3 linked regions of the Arabidopsis thaliana genome follow. The protein of the gene in region 2 interacts with the protein of the main gene of each other region in a biochemical or structural test. Each region holds a gene or a part of one and is shown on either strand. Other genes may lie near its edges.

What was found. Proteins that work in one complex are often made in the same cells at the same time.
Region 1: the proteins of AT1G75640 (region 2) and AT5G51560 form a complex in vitro, tested with the Arabidopsis thaliana proteins (one large-scale study listed by BioGRID).
Region 3: the proteins of AT1G75640 (region 2) and AT4G22730 form a complex in vitro, tested with the Arabidopsis thaliana proteins (one large-scale study listed by BioGRID).

The regions. Positions count from the first base shown.
Region 1 is NC_003076.8:20,943,740-20,949,445, reverse strand, and holds AT5G51560 (Leucine-rich repeat protein kinase family protein), read right to left. Parts: upstream 3,771-5,706; 5' UTR 3,640-3,770; coding exon 3,201-3,639; intron 2,626-3,200; coding exon 2,365-2,625; intron 2,258-2,364; coding exon 1,397-2,257; intron 1,315-1,396; coding exon 833-1,314; 3' UTR 507-832; downstream 1-506.
Region 2 is NC_003070.9:28,402,863-28,408,723, forward strand, and holds AT1G75640 (Leucine-rich receptor-like protein kinase family protein), read right to left. Parts: upstream 4,321-5,861; 5' UTR 4,161-4,320; coding exon 738-4,160; 3' UTR 509-737; downstream 1-508. Other genes in the region: XRN3 (5'-3' exoribonuclease 3), read left to right, coding at 5,427-5,630, 5,826-5,861.
Region 3 is NC_003075.7:11,939,424-11,944,391, reverse strand, and holds AT4G22730 (Leucine-rich repeat protein kinase family protein), read right to left. Parts: upstream 3,392-4,968; 5' UTR 3,009-3,391; coding exon 2,579-3,008; intron 2,491-2,578; coding exon 2,230-2,490; exon of another isoform or gene 2,143-2,229; coding exon 1,249-2,142; coding exon of another isoform or gene 1,244-1,248; intron 1,178-1,243; coding exon 696-1,177; 3' UTR 507-695; downstream 1-506. Other genes in the region: AT4G22740 (glycine-rich protein), read left to right, coding at 45-128, 215-342.

The DNA.
Region 1 (5,706 bases), on a different chromosome or scaffold from region 2:
TCCACGACTCGTTCGTTTCTATGGAAACAAATGGTGTTATGTGATCGAAGCCTTTTGCTACCGTTAGATCAAGCGGTTTGAGGAGAAATGGACGGTTAGGATTAGTTACTGATTAATTAGCTATATCAACAATATCTTCCTTCCTTAGATATTTGGTATAATCCTTTTTTGACCAATGAAAAGTATAATTTGATATTTTTTTCTGTCTTTTGTGGACAACTAATAATTTAATTTATTTCTTTCAAATAACTCAAGTAATTCTAAAAATTTACTAGGTCCAAAATCTAATCCTGAAGTCTAGAAAAATCATGTAAATTATTCGAATCTGGTGGCCAATGCTAATAGTTAACCTTTGACTTTATATTTATAAATTTGTATCTAGATCTAGATGACTAATAAAGACTTAAAAGTTAAAGCTCATATCCAAATCTAAATCAAAACCATCTAACAAATCAATTCTTTTGATATTGATTTGATCAATATCAGAAAAAAAAATGTTATACGTTATTTTTTTTCTATATTGAATTATTGACAATAAATTGGTTCAGAAAGTTATAAAAAAAAAAGAAGACAAAGTACCATAAATATTTTCCATCTACCGAAATTTTTTAAAAGTAATGTACTTGTCTTGTCTTCTTCTAAGGTTGAAGAGCTTAACATAAACACAAATCATACAAACCAATAAAGTACAACACGTTGAACAGTTTTTAAACGTTAATGGGAAGGGAAAAGGCACCTTTTTCTTAACCCTAAACACAGGAAAAGGTGACTAACAAACCCTTCCTTAATTGATTCCTAAGGTACACATTACACATTTGCCTCGAGAGAGTTCTCAGAGACAGCTACTACAGTTACCTAGCTCATGAACTACAGCTTCCACGGATGGTCTTTCAATGGGAGATTCATGAGTGCATAGCCACGCGATTCTAGCTAGCTTTGTGGCTTCATATTCAAAGAATCTTCCTTGAAGATTTGGATCTATGTAATCATTGAACCTACAAGCTTCAGTTCCAAGCTTAACAAGATGCCTAACCTTCTGTTTCCCGGAGATTATCTGAAACACAAGAATCCCGAAAGCGTAGACATCGGTTTTCTCGGTGAAACGTCCGGTTGTGGTGTATTCTGGAGCGAGGTAGCCCATTGCTGCACTGTCTTTGAGTGCAGAGAAGACAATGTCGTTTGTGAGAAGTGTGTGGAGGCCTGAGTTTGAGAGTAGAGGACTGTATCGCTGGTCGATTAGAACTTTCTCCGCTGAGATGTTTTGGTGAACCAATGCTGGCTTGCTTCCTTTGTATGAATGTAGATAAGCAATCCCTAAACACAAAACATCAAACACATAAACAAAAATGAATCAAGAACGCTAACAAAATTGGTTCGGCATAAATAAAACTCATACCTTTTGCGATGCCTTTAGCAATGGATACTCTCGTGGACCAATCAAGAACATGCGCATCACCATCTTTGAGATCAAGATAGCTCAGTAAATTTCCATTAGGAGCAAAATCATAGATGAGAAAACATTCTCCACGGCCTCTTGAACAGCAGAAGCCTCTAAGTTTTGACAAGTTTTCATGTTTCAGAGACGCCAACATGTTGAGTCCTTTCAAGAACTCAGGTTCTTCAGATTTGCAACTTGTTTTACTAAACCGTTTGATCGCTACAGCAGAACCATCTCTCAAGATTCCTTTGTAAGTCGCAGAGAAGTTGCTTCTTCCAAGCAAATTCACTTCTGAGAAATACTGTGTAGCAGTTTCAACCTCTTCAAGATTGAATCGAAAGCTCTGGATAACTTCTTGAGCAAAGACACTGAGATTCCTATTGTCTGAAAGTGGATCCCAACCATTAGTATATTCAAGACTGGCCAATGGAGAACCATTGTTCTTCCTAAAACCTCCTCCTACGGTGTTGAGACGGTTGTCCGACATTTCATAAGTGGTTGAAAGCTTCTGTTTGCGTCTGCGATAATGCGTGAACAAGAGGATGCTAATAGCAGACAATGCAATAGTCGAGACAACCAAACCAATAAGGATTGCACCTTGGTGAGATTTTGGAGGAGTATTACAGTTTGTTCCATTACAAGGTGACCGTAGATTAGCTGATTCTGGTATATCCCGGGATGGAAAACCAAACACGGTTGCACCGTATGGCTTAGGTTCCTCAGGAGCTGTGCCATTGCAAGATTTCAACGGCGAGAACTCAGCTCCACATAGTCCCAAGTTGTTTTCAAACGAAAAACCTTCATTTAATCTCTTCAGTACTGTCAAATCGGTACAACAGAGAAAGAAATATAAACCAAAATGAGAAACACTTCACAAAATACGCAAAGTTAGTTTCAAAGATCATATAGTGAATCAGTTTTCTAACCAGGAGGTACATTGCCAGTGAGGGAGTTGTTGCGGATGTCGAGAACTCGAAGCAGAGGAGGGCTAGCTAACTTGCCTGGTACAGAACCAAACAAATGATTGTAGCTCAAATCTAGCCGCTCTAGAGCACTTAAATCTCCTAAACTCGCAGGTATAGCTCCAGTGAGTTTGTTAGATTGAAGAGCAAGAACACTCAGCTTCCTCAGTGAACTAAGCTCCCTAGGAATGCTTCCAGTCAAATTGTTGTAACAGAGCTGCAAAACTACACAACAACATAGACCAAAAAAGGAATGAAGCTTAGCTTTGACTTACATTAACTTAGAACTAATTCTAGATTTAGAAACCTGGTCCTGCTAATTAAAGCTCAAATATAAAGCCTTTTGAAAGTAAGTGAATCAATTATCTAAATAAACAAAATTAATCAAGAGAAGTACAAGTTATCTTCAATTCAAGTCCATATTTTGGGACCAGTAAGCCATTTATGGTTCCAATTAAAAGTTTGAATCTTAAAAAGTTCTTGACTATTCTTCCTTACAGGAAAATTACAAAAAGAAAAATCCTAACAAAAAGACATGAAAAGGACGTTTTAAAGACAGATCATTAAAGCATTAAATTCCAAAATCATCTAATTCAAATAATTTCAACTACCAGAGATAGTAATGAAGTAACTAAAACCCCTAAGACAAGGAGCTCAGATTTCTAGGTTTCAAATCTCCACAGAACATTGATTAATCTTGGGACAAGAATTTTGCAGAAACCAAAGATCTAACAATGCTAAATTTAGGTTTTAAGTTTAATCAATGATTAAGATTAAAATTAAAGTAAAAAAGAACTAACCTTGCAAGCCTTGCATCTTCCCAATGTTTGAAGGAATCTCACCGGAGAGATTATTAACATTGAGATAAAGATCCGTAAGTTCCGACAAGTTACCAAGTTCTCTAGGAATATCTCCAACAAGAGCATTGTAGTGCAAGAACAAACCCGTCAAATGTTTAAGCTTTCCAATGTTCGGAGAGATTTTACCAGATAAGCCTTTCCCTTGTAGAGATATGTTAGAAACTCGTCCTTTCCAGTCACAACCAACACCTTCAAAGTCTTTACACAGATCTCCATTAACACTCCATGAAGCTAAGTGTTTGTCTTCTGGGTCAAGCTCTGTTTTAACCTCCATCAATGTCGCTAACTCGTCGGTGATTTCTGCCATGACTTGGTTGCTGAAGTGAAGGAAGAGAAGTGGAAGAAGAAGAAGATGAAGCAGCATTTGTGTCGCCGTCATTTTATTTCTAGGGTTTGGTTTTGAGCTTGAAGATAGCAGCTTCAGAAAGCTAAAGGAGATGTGAAGAAAGAATTAAAGGTTCAGTTTTTCAAGAAGAGGAGAGAGAAGATAAAGACACAGAGATGTCGCATGCTTTTGTTCCATTCAGACAAAAGAAAAAAAAAAGTGTTTGTGTTTTGGAGATACCAGAGATGGTTTAAATCTGATCGTTCGATGTTTTTGTGTTTGATATGAATCGTTGGATCTCTTGGGATGTTTTTAGTTATGGTGAGTTGGTTTTTATGTTATCTTATCTCGTTGATGTTGGTCCACTCTGACTAGAGCAATGCATGTTCTCTTTTTTTTTCTCCTTAGTTTATATATATTTCAAATTCTATTTCTTACAACATTTGTAATAGAATTTTCAAAATTTATTATGAAGAATTTGTTGTACTTGTACATACGAATTTTCTACAGTAAGTCTATAAATTGTATTATGATCCAACTTTTGATATCTTTTGTAATCGTAAATAATTTAGCTAAAAATGGTAAACAAGAAAAATGAAGGTCAAAACAAAAAGATCCCACATAGATTTTGGGAAAGTGGAAAAGCTCTTCTAAATAAGGCAATCATTCAATTATGCTGCGATGAAGCTAGGAGGAATATGACCTAATGACCATTATATTTTGGACACACTAAAATGTTCTAATTTGCCCCAATAGCCGTTGTTTTAATTGGTTAGGCTACTTATTTTTGAATACTAATAATCACAGCTAGATTTTATATTTAACCAAATATAGTCATATAATCCTAAATGTAGTTAAAGACAATCCTAAATTATATTTTAACCAACACACAATCGCAAATATAGTCGTGTAATCCTTAATGCAGATATAAAAAATCAATTTAACTTAAGATGCTAATAACATATTTATAAAAAAAATATAACAAGTCTGAATCTTATATACACAAAAAGAGATGTGTCGATGGAGTTGGGAGACAATTTGTAAATTGAAAGCACAAGCAATGCAATGCAATCTATTAATCTAATAAGTGACTGGGCGACGAATTCGGAATGGAAATCATGTTCTCTAAATTGGGCTTTAAACAATATTGCGTGAAGCAAGAATAATAAATTTGGGCTTTAGAAAATTGCTAAAAGGCCCATTATCAAATACCCAAAAAAAAACTAGTTTCTGTGTCGGAATTGTATTGAGCTACCGTCTACCGATCATGGCATACCGCATACTTATCTTAAATTATTAAAATTGCCTGTCATTATTCAGTCATGACTAAAATATATAAAAGAGAGCAGAGATTCATCGTAGTAAAAAAAAATAACGACCCAAAAATTATTTTACATGCTTTATGTGACTTTCTCATTCCTTAATGATTACACATAAATCCCTGAATTCATTTTATCTCTTATGCTATCATGAAGTCATGAACTATAGAGACGGTTAACGAATTTGCATTCTACCATATTACTGAAGTGATGCAACATGCACGCACTTTAAATATAAATTTGCATGCAGAGAAACTATAAAAGGAAAATTGGCTTGAATTACTTAACATGAATGAAACTAAAAATATTAACGAGGTTCGATTATTTTGATTTTCACACTAAATTTCAAACTATATATTAAATTGAAGTCATTGAAGGTTATATATATGTGAAGTTGTTTTGAATCTTAACGCTTAAATAGTCATTTCGGATTGTGATCCCACTAAAAACACTCATTCAGGATTATGAGATTATCTAATAGTACTACAATTCTTCGTGAGCAAAAGAGAAGATCCTAAAAATAATGTTTGCGTTTTCACTTTTCACTCGTTTTCACCGAAGCTGTAATAATCACTCGACACTCATGTGGGTCACGACTCGGTCACCTTAAATTATTGATCCCAACATTTACGACATAAGTTCAGAATAAATAGCAACGACATAAAAATTCATTCTCGACTCTTGGGTTTGGGTAAAACAATATCAATAGAAAATACAAACTTCATCATCGCATCCACGATTCTAACTTAGATAACAAGAATCGCATCCCAATTAACTGTGGTGAAAAACGAGATTCCTGTTC
Region 2 (5,861 bases):
AAAAGTTAAATAAATGAAAGAGAAGTAATAATTAATAAAAAAGGCCAAAGAAACAAAGTACACTGGCTAAACAGTAAGAAATCCAACGTGGACTGGGGTTTCAGACAACAACAGGCTCTGCTTAAAAAAGCTTTTCGTCCTCTGACGGCTTAACTTCACTTTTCCCCAAACACAAAAATCCAATAAATAATATCAACGGCTACTTTCATCTCCCTATGAAGACCAACACGTGTCACACACCCACTTGTCCTAACGTATTTGGCGGGAACTAAAACAGAACAACGACAATGTTGAAAACCCCACACATGTACTATTAAGTATTAACCCCACTGACCAAATCACGGAACATTGTCTACTAAAGCTCGGTAGATAGTTTACGCAATGCTTACCATAACGGCGCCATAGGGTCTAAACCTCAACGTCAACACACTATTTTAGTCTACATGACTAATAATAATATGCTGGACCCGACAAATATATATTCGTTATAATATGATTTTTTGTTGAACGAGAATCCCGGAAAAAATTGTTCTAAAACCCAAGATAACAAGTTAACAACAACACATTGAAGTGATTGTTCATTCCACCGTGGGAAATTCAATAAATTTGGCAACTTAAAATTTGATTGTCGTACCCGTGACAAGATACAACACAATGAAAGTCAACATAAATTATCCACAAAGGAAAAAAAATAAAGGAAAAAGAAATAAAATGATTGTAATAAGAAAACAGCAATTTCAAGAAACGGCGGTTGCGGCGGGAGAAGTAGGTGAAGTAGGATCGGCGGACAAGGAAATCGCCGGACCGACTCTACACCCTTCGAGCATGAAAACAACATCAGCCATAGACGGACGATCAACGACGTCTCCTCCAGTACACAACAACCCAACTTTGATCCCTAACAAGAACTCTTCCCACTCCGAACTTTCCGGGTCAAGCTCCAACAAACCCGGTTCAAGCAACTCAACGATCTGACCTTTTTGTAACTGTCTCTTCACCCATTTCACTATATCTTCATCCTCTGTAAACATCACTGCCTTTTTCCCCGTTAAGATCTCTAACAACACGATCCCGAAGCTGTACACGTCGCTCTCTTTACTTGTTTCACCCGTTAAACCCGCTTCCGGTGCAATGTAGCCTAAAGACCCGACGGGAGTGGATGAAGTGGATGGTTCTTCAGCTGGAGTCAACGCTGTCAATCTATCTAACCCGAATTCTGACAAATGCGCTTCAAAGTCAGCGTCGAAGAGTACGTTTTGCGGTTTAAGATCGCCGTGAATGATTGATAAAGAATGCAAGAAGGACAGTCCTCTAGCGATTCCAAGAGCAATGAGATGACGCATTGGCCAGTTCAAGACATGTCCGTCTTGGTGAGAGGCTTCTTGCAAAAGCGTAGCGAGGTTTCCGTTGGGCATGTAGTCGTAAACAAGAAGTCTTAGATCAGGTGGTCCGCAGTAATAACCTCTCAAGACCGTGATGTTCTTGTGCTTCACTCTACCTAAAGCCTCAGCTTGGTTACGGAACGTTGCATCGGTTATCGAAGCACCATCCATTAGTCTACGAACCGATAGAACCATCCCATCTCTAAACGTCGCCTTGAAGACCAACCCATACCTTCCTCTGCTCAATACGTTCTCTTCGTCAAATTGTCTTGTGGCTTCTAAGGTTTCAGCTAACGTGATCTTGTTGTTGAACATCACAAGTTTAGGTCCACCATTGTTGTCTTCTCCTCTTGTCCCACCAGAACTCGCTCTAGATGTACGTGAGGGGGTCCCTTTCTTGTCCCGACTCAAGCCCAATCTTAGTTTGTTCCGCCATTTCCATAAACTGAACACATAACCACAACAACAGAGTAACAGCAACAAAGCTCCAGCCACTGCTAGTGTCACTAGTAGAATTAGCTTTCTTCTTCTTCTCCTTCGAACGTTTGGACATTCTATACCAAGCGGTTTACCGCAGAGTCCCGGGTTCTTGACAAAGACGGTCGGGTTAGTGAAACGCGCAGCTAGAGCTTCTGGAATCTCCCCTTCCAAACTGTTTCTTGATAAGTTGAAATAGTTCAAGAAACGAAGCCGAGAGAGACTTGATGGTATAGTGGAATTCAATCTGTTCGACGAAAGATCCAACGCGGTTAGATTCGTCAATCTTGATAAAGATTCCGGTATTCGACCCGATAGAGAATTCGAATTAAGCAGGAGAGATTCTAGAGAAGAATCCTTAGAAATCTGATCCGGAATACTCCCTGTTAAACTGTTGTGACTCAAATCAAGCTTCTTCAAAAGAGACAACTTGGAAACGTAAACCGGAATGTGACCCTTTAAACTATTAGAACCAAGCTCAAGAACCTCAAGACTGGAACAATTCCCAATCTCCGGCGGGATTGTACCGGATATTCGATTGTGAGACAACGAAAGCACTTGTAATGACTTGAGAAATCCATAGTTCTTTGGGATATGTCCGGAGAATAAGTTGGAACTGAGATTTAAGTACTTAAGACTAACCAAGCTGCTGAAACCTTCCGGTACGACGCCGCCGAGCAAGTTGTTTCCAAGAGCAACCACTTGAAGATCCGGTAAACCAAATAGTTCGACTGGTAACTGACCAGAGATTCTCTGTTTACTTATATCCAAAACCTGAAGCTTCATTAATCCGCTAATGCTAACCGGTATCCGACCCGTTAACCCGCATCCACTTATGTTGAGAACACTCAAGCTTTTCAGATCACCCACATTGGACGGAACTTCGCCGGAGAATCTGTTGAAACTGAGATTAAGGATGGTAAGATTAGCTAGCTTTGTTATCTCCGACGGTATTGCTCCGGTGAGATGATTTTCATTGAGATTCAATGTCTCGAGTCCGTACAAGCTGAGAAGATCCGATGGAATCCGACCCGAGAACCCGTTTCTTCCAAGAGATATCGTTGTCAGGCTCCGTAACTGACTTAGAAAACCCGGAATCTGACCCGAGAACTTGTTTCCTTCGAAATCAACGACTCTTAACGATTTGCAATTACGGATACTCGTCGGAATTTCTCCAACAAGTGAATTGTTAGCTACTCTCAGCTCCTGAAGCGCCATCAAGTTCCCAACTTTAGCCGTAACACCACCGGAGAAACCGTTTCCAGAAATATCCAAAACCACTAAAGAGGTCAAATCAGTCAACCACGCGGGAAAATCGCCATTAATGCGATTCTCGTGAATGTCGAGAATCTCCAAATTAGGGTTCACGCAAGCTGCATTTGACGGCTTAGCTATTCCCGTGAAGTTATTAACTCCTAATTGAATGATTCGCATGGAGGAATTGTAACCTGAATAACCACATAGAAGACTAACCGGAACTGTACCGGTAAATGAATTCTCCGATAATGAAATCACCTGCAGGCTTCGAATCGTGCCTAAAGTAACCGGAATTAAACCGGTGAGGTGATTACCGGTTACGCTGAAGTGTATAAGCGATGAACAGTTGGCTAATGCGGATGGTATTGTGCCTTGTAATTGGTTTGAGTCTAGCCAGAGATACTCGAGGTCTTGTAGTTGTCCCAATGTAGCCGGGATCTCACCGGAGAAGTGGTTGAACGAGAGGTTGATGAGCTGGAGAGATGAATCCGCTGAGAAATTCGCCGGAATCTTACCGGATATTGCATTGGAAGACAAATCGACGTAACGAAGGCTCTTCGAGACTGTGACGTCGGATAGATTTCCGGTGAGTGAGTTGTGAGCAGCGTTGAGGACCTGGAGGTTTCGTAGATTCAGTATCTCCGGTGGAAAATCGCCGGAGAAGGAGTTGTAGTGAAGATAAAGAGCTCTAAGGAAGACACAACGAGAGAGAGACGAAGGAACGGCGCCGTTTATGTCGTTGGTGTGAAGACTTAGTTTACGGAGCTGAGTCAACTCACCGAGTCGAGGACTGAGGTGGCCGGTGAGGTGGAGACGAGGAAGACGAAGCTCACGGACACGGCCGGAGAAGCAAGAAACGCCGTGCCAGTCGCATGGAGCTGATGGAGATGATTGATTCCAGGACTCGAGAGCTCCTAGAGGGTCGTGGAGAGAGAGTTTGAAAGATGTGAGTGCTTGAGTCTCTGATGAGATGGCGGAGGTGTGGTGGAATCTGGAGAAGAAGATTGCGGCGAAGTGAAGGAAGAAAATGACCGTTGCGGCCATTAGAGTGGAGAAAGGAAAGATTTTTATTTGCAGAGAAGAATTAGTGTTTCGTCTATAATATAAGAGAGGAGCGTAAAGGAGGGAGAGTGTAACGACATCGTTTTGGATTCCACTATATGGAACTCTTGGGATGGTGTGAATTTTTGTTGTTCCCCAAAAGTAAATTATATAAAGATGTATTTGATTATTAAAAAATGGTTACCTAGTGCTTATATCTACAAGATGTAGATTAAATTCATTGATCATGTCTCACCAAGCAACGTAAATATCATCAAAACACTATGAGAAAATATCTTACATGCAATATGGTTTTGTGTATGTAAGTATACATGTGCGTGTATGACAGTATCTGCATTATGTTCGTAGCTACCAATCTTGTGACAAATGTTACGACCAACTCTGCATCTCTCATGGCTGGTAAATCAGAAACTACCAAATCGTACATATTTCTCACTAAAAGGATATTCATAGCATCTCATATATGGTTAGATTATGAATTATTATGATTTTCAATATTCAAAGCTTACTCTTTCTAAAAATCGAAATCCACTAATCAAAATGTTTTTCATTCTATGTTAAGGTTCCTGGTTATTAGTTAAGGTTCCTGGTTCACCCATAGTTCATGCAAAGCAAAAGGGGAATTTATAATTTTATAACAAAATTGTTTTATTTACAGTACTATTAGTCACTATGAGACATATGGATAATGTAGACAAATAGATTATAAGAAAAATGTATAACAAAGACTTATTATACCACTAATCTCACAAAGAAAGATTAAACAAAAGGATATTTTAATCCAAGAATCATAATTTCTGCCGGAATAGATGGACCACAAGAACTAGACATAAAGCCGAAAGAGACTAGTTTAATCAAGTACAACAAGTCCTTCGTGTTCTCTTTTCTTTGATTCAAATCTTGTTAAGTGTCATATAATTTGAGCTAAGAAATCGAACACAAATCCGTTGTAGTCTAGCTGGTCAGGATACTCGGCTCTCACCCGAGAGACCCGGGTTCGAGTCCCGGCAACGGAGTTTCTTTTTATTTTATTTTTTGATAAATGGGCTTCCGACAAAGCCCATATTTTGGTTTGTCTTAAGCCCGATTACTGTTTCATTAATCCGATTTTTGCTTTCTCATCCATTAGGAAAAAACCCAATAAATGTGCACTTCGTGACCTTAACCGCCGTCGGCAAACACCGTTGGTTTTTTACTTTCTTGTTCCTTTGTGTCGCCGGAGATATATATCTTCGACATCGGTGAAGAATGGGTGTACCGTCGTTTTACCGATGGTTGGCCGAGAAGTATCCTCTTTTAGTGGCGGATGTTATCGAGGAAGAGCCTGTTGAAATCGAAGGCATCAAGATTCCTGTGGATACTAGTAAACCTAACCCTAACAACCTCGAATACGATAATCTTTATCTCGACATGAACGGGATTATCCATCCTTGCTTTCACCCCGAAGATAGGGTAGCGTTTCCTTTCGATTTTTGGATTCATTCACTGTTGAATGTTTTATTTGAGACATTAGGGTTTTCAAATTTGGTTCATCCTTATTTAAAAATTGGTTCTTTGTTGTAAAAATTTGATCTTTGTGTGAGTATGCACGTGTAGAATGTTTCTGTTAGCTCTTTCTTTACTTGACGACTATGTTTGTTGTTGCAGCCATCTCCAACTACCTTTGAGGAGGTGTTTCAGTGT
Region 3 (4,968 bases), on a different chromosome or scaffold from region 2:
AATATCCTTATATACCGTTTGCTTTCAATTGCAAAATTCTGCAGATGAATTGGCTGGTTTTGAACAGTCTTGGAGTGGAAATGCTAGAAGGCAAATGCAGTTACCCAGTCGCTCTGGTTCATTTGGAAGTAAGCAGTCCTATTACACGGTCAAGTTTTCGTGTTGTACGTTTCTTTGTGAACAAAGATAAATCATCTCTTTGATGTTCTTGCAGGTGGTCTTGTGAACAGAGAGCAACCAATGTTACTTCCCTCGACTGATCCAAGTCCTTCTCATGCACGAGCAGAATCATCCCGAAGACCGAAAGCTGCAATGAATGTAAGAGGACATGGTACAAACTAATCTCCGCCTATATGTATGGTTTCGAAAATCTTTAGTGAATGTAACCAAAGACTAATTACTTTACTTAGGTTGCATCATCATTACTGTAACTGTATGATGACATGATTTGAGGGTTTTAAACACTGCTCCTTGATGATTATTATATATGTATCTTTTGTTACATTAATCAGTTCTTCGTTGCTTATAATCATATAGCTAACTGATTAAAGCTTCAATTCTCAGCTACAAATCTAAATAAAATATAAACCGGACCCGGTTCTTACTGGAGAGAACTAAAACAAACAAAACCAATTGGTGGGACACAGCTAACCGGAGAATCATACTTGCACAAAGATACTAATTAAAAAGCAGAGTCATTCACTCTTCATACAGTTTATATTCTCAAGCAATGTCTCTATATTAGGCCTATTGTTTGGTATCTCCTGTGTACAGCTTATCCCAATCCTCGCCATTGCAGTCGCCTCTGGTTTATCAAACTCTTCACGAAGATCTTCATCGATGAACCCGTTATGTTCTCCATTTTCAGCTGCATTTCTCAGTGAACTTGTAAGCATGAGCTTACCAGAGAGTATCTGGAGAATGATGACTCCAAAGGCGAAAATATCGGTTTTCTCGGTGAATTTTCCGGTTGTGACGTATTCCGGAGCTAAATATCCCATTGCTGCACTTGTTTTGAGTGCTGAGAAGACCATATCGTCTGCTAGAAGGTTGTGAAGACCCGAATCAGCGATTAACGGGTTAAATTGTTCATCAAGTAGGATTTTTTCGACAGAGATGTTTCGATGAACTATTGTAGGCTTCTTCTGTTGATCACTTCCATGTAAGTAAGCAATACCTGCAAGAAATTTGTGTATTAAATACATTTTGTTCCTTGAACTCAAAGAAGTGATATTTCAAATACTTAACCTTTTGCAATCCCTTTGATGATGGAGATTCTTGCAGACCAAGCAAGGACCAGATTAGTTTCGCGTTCTTGTAAGTCAAGAAAATTTGAAAGCTTTCCTTTTGAAGCAAAATCATAGATGAGGAAACACTCTCCTCTGCCTCTAGAACAGCAGAATCCACGTAGCTTCACTAAGTTTTCGTGTGACAACGAAGATAAAAGCTTTAAACCGTTCATGAATTCGACTTCTTCGTTCTTGCAACTGCTTATGTTGATGCTTCTGATAGCTACCGGAGAACCATCTCTGAGGACTCCTTTGAACACTGAGGTGAAGCTGTTTCTGCTCAATAGATTAGCTTCTGAGAAGCATTGGGTTGCTGATTCAATGTCTTCTAAGTTAAACCTGAAGCTACTATTTACAACAAAGAGATGAGGCTCTTGTGAAAACTCAGCTCCGTTTCTGCTATCACCTAGCGGATCCCATTCTTTAGTGTAGGCAAGACTCACTAAAGGCGATGCACGGAACTCTTTTTGTTGATCTGTGCTTAGTCTTCCCTCGGAAAACTCAGGTGTGTTACTGATCTTTTGCTTCCTTCTTCTGTAGCGAAAGAAGGTCAATATACCAGCACCAATCAATGTTATAGTGACGGTAATCACGCTTGAAATCAAAGCAACTTGTGGGAGTTTCGATGAGGATTTCTTGCAATGTGTTTGGTTGCAATGCTTTTGGAGATATACAGACTCGGGAATGTTGTGAAGAGCTGATTTATCAGTGTCTATTTCACCAGGAGGCTGCTTAAATTGTTCGATATTATTCGCATTATCGAAAGCAGAACAAGCTCTCAAAGAAGGAAAATCGATACCACATAACCCGGTGTTGTTCTCAAACTGGAAGCTCCCATTCAACTTCTTAAGACCTTTGAAGAAACATAACGAAGAAAAAACCGAGTCAAGAAACAGAGAGATAAGCTCTTACAAAGACGTTTCAAGAATCATTAACTCACCAGGAGGAACAAAGCCAGAGAGAGTATTGTTGCGCAAGTCAAGAGTGTCCAACTGAGGAATGTTGGCTAGGGTTTTTGGGATTAAACCTAACAGATTGTTGAAGCTTAAATCAAGCCTGCTTAACATACTCAAGTTTCCTAAAGTCCAAGGAACCTCTCCGGTTAGTTTGTTGTGTTGCAGAGACAACACATTAAGTTTCTTCAAGGATCCAATGTTCTTTGGTATCTTCCCTGTTAAACTGTTGCAACAAAGATCCATAACTGCAACAAAAGACACCACAAAACATTCAAATGGAAGATCGAGTAAACATTCAAGTGAAAGATCTGTGAAACATTATAAGATGCTAACCTTGCAAGCCAGCCATGGAGCCGATATCTGCCGGAATCTCACCAGAGAAGTTATTAACATTGAGATAAAGATCTGATAATTCAGTAAGATTTGTGATCTCTTGAGGTATCTCTCCAGAGAGACTATTGTAATGTAAGTAAAGACCTGACAAACATTTGAGCTCTGCAACCGCCGGAGACAATTTTCCGACCAAACGTTTCCCTTGTAATGATATGTTTGCGACTTTTAGATGCTGGTTACATGCAATTCCTTCGAAAGATCCGTCGCATGGATCGCCGTTAAACGTCCATGAACGGAGAAGCTTGTTTTCAGGGTCAAGCGACGATTTCAGCTCCATTAAAGCCTTCAGCTCTGCATTTCCTCGAACATTCGACGGAGTTGCAAGAAAGATTGAGAGAAGGATCAGTAACGTGGCACATAAGGTAACCATTCTTGAATTTTCTTGTCTCTCTGTTTAGAAATTACTGAGCTTTAGCTCATTTATCTATCTCTCTTATAGAGCAGAATAATCTGTTTTATAGAGCAGAGTAATAAAGGAACGAAATTTATAGAGCAGAGTACTCTGTTTTGTACTGGATTGGGAGCTATCTCTTTGTTAAACGAAGATAGTAACTTTTAGAGAGGGACCAATTTTGTGTCTGTTTCTCGGATTTGGAAAACTGTAACCTTCCACTCTCGTGAATGAAAAGTTATTCTGCAGAATTTTCTTGTTTTGGAGAGAAGAAGAGAAAGAAGCAGAACCTCAGCTGGTGAAAAGTGGGAAGACAACACAACGCATTGAATACACTGTCTGTGTGAGACAGAGACGTATACTGCTTTTGAAAAGGAAAGCCAAATCTTGATGACTTTTTTGGTGATTTTTAACAGTTAATGTTCACATTTGTTAGTGGGGATGTGATGTTATTAGGTGTTTGTTTATTTATTATGTCTATTGCTCGAGATCTTGGTTTATTTCACTTTCTTTGCATTGGTTTATGATTTAGACAGACTTTAAAACATTTTTAGTATATTTCTTCTATATCACAAATTCTATATAAAACAAAAATATGCTTTTTGGATAACCATTTTAGAAACAAACAGAACTCGGGCAAATCGCAAAATCATTTAGCTATTTGATCATAACTTAAGTTTACGAATAAAATCCATAGAACTTAATATCTATGTGTGGTGGTTATTATAAATGGTAAAATGGGTAAAAGTGTAGAGCGGCTTTAATGTGAGAAAACGATCTAACGAGTGAAGTTTATTTAAGTTCATGTTTGGCGATTGAGCACTTTGGCTTATAGTTCATAACTTTTGGAATCATTTCGAAACTTGGATCATCCTCTTCTTCTTTGTCAACACTCCACCTTCCCATTCCCTGCATGTGCCACGTGCACGTGTCTACTCCTGCATACACATACACATACACATATTCATATTTAGTCTCTTAAAACAAGTCTTTGGATGAGAATAGTACTGATTAAAGAATGTTTTTTTTAGATCCATATTTCTAATAGTGGTCTAATATGATTAGTTGATTATATATACTATAAAATATAGTATACTATAAAATATAGTATATATGGTCTAAATATAGTATTTAGTTAATGATGATATCGAGATTTAGAGGACAATTATTCCACTAACTCTCTTTTCTTTTCCTCTAATTATTTGTAGGCTATAAAGTAAATTGATAAAAGATTAGTTATAGAAATGCTATTTGTTGGTACATGTATTCTAACCTAATTGGGTTTAAGAACAAGACAGTTTGACTATAAGCAGAATCCAATGTGGACTGAAACATTCATCTTAATTAGATATTCTTAGATATACTCTTTGATTATATACAAACTTTTATCATATGTCCTATTATACTGATGAATCTTACTATGTGGACAAAACTTAATTCACACAATGAATAAAATTGGTGAAAATGATAACAAAAAACAAATTAGTGAAGTAATTAAGCACGTTAAAACTAAAAAACGAGACTAGTAGATTTGACGACGACGATCGAGTTCAATGTGAAAGCATAAAACCTTATCAACGGCTATAATTCAGATCTTGATTACTTCAAGGTTTTTTAGATGTATACAATAGTTTTAACAAAAAAAAAGATGTATACAATAGCAATCAGACAACTTTGATTTATCTTCAATCATTCGTCTTTTATTTTTTGGCATTTCAAGATGGAAGGAAGACTTTTGAAATACTTTTATCTTTTCGTTAACTACTTTGACCTTTTACTTGATTGTTTTACTAATAACTTTTGTCATTTTCTCCTTTTTCCCACGTCTTTTTGAATCTATATGATGTCTTTTAAAACTTTTGAAAATTTTATATTTAGTATGCATGCTTACTTACATAGTTACATGTATGAATGTTTTATCTAGAACTCTAGTCTCTAG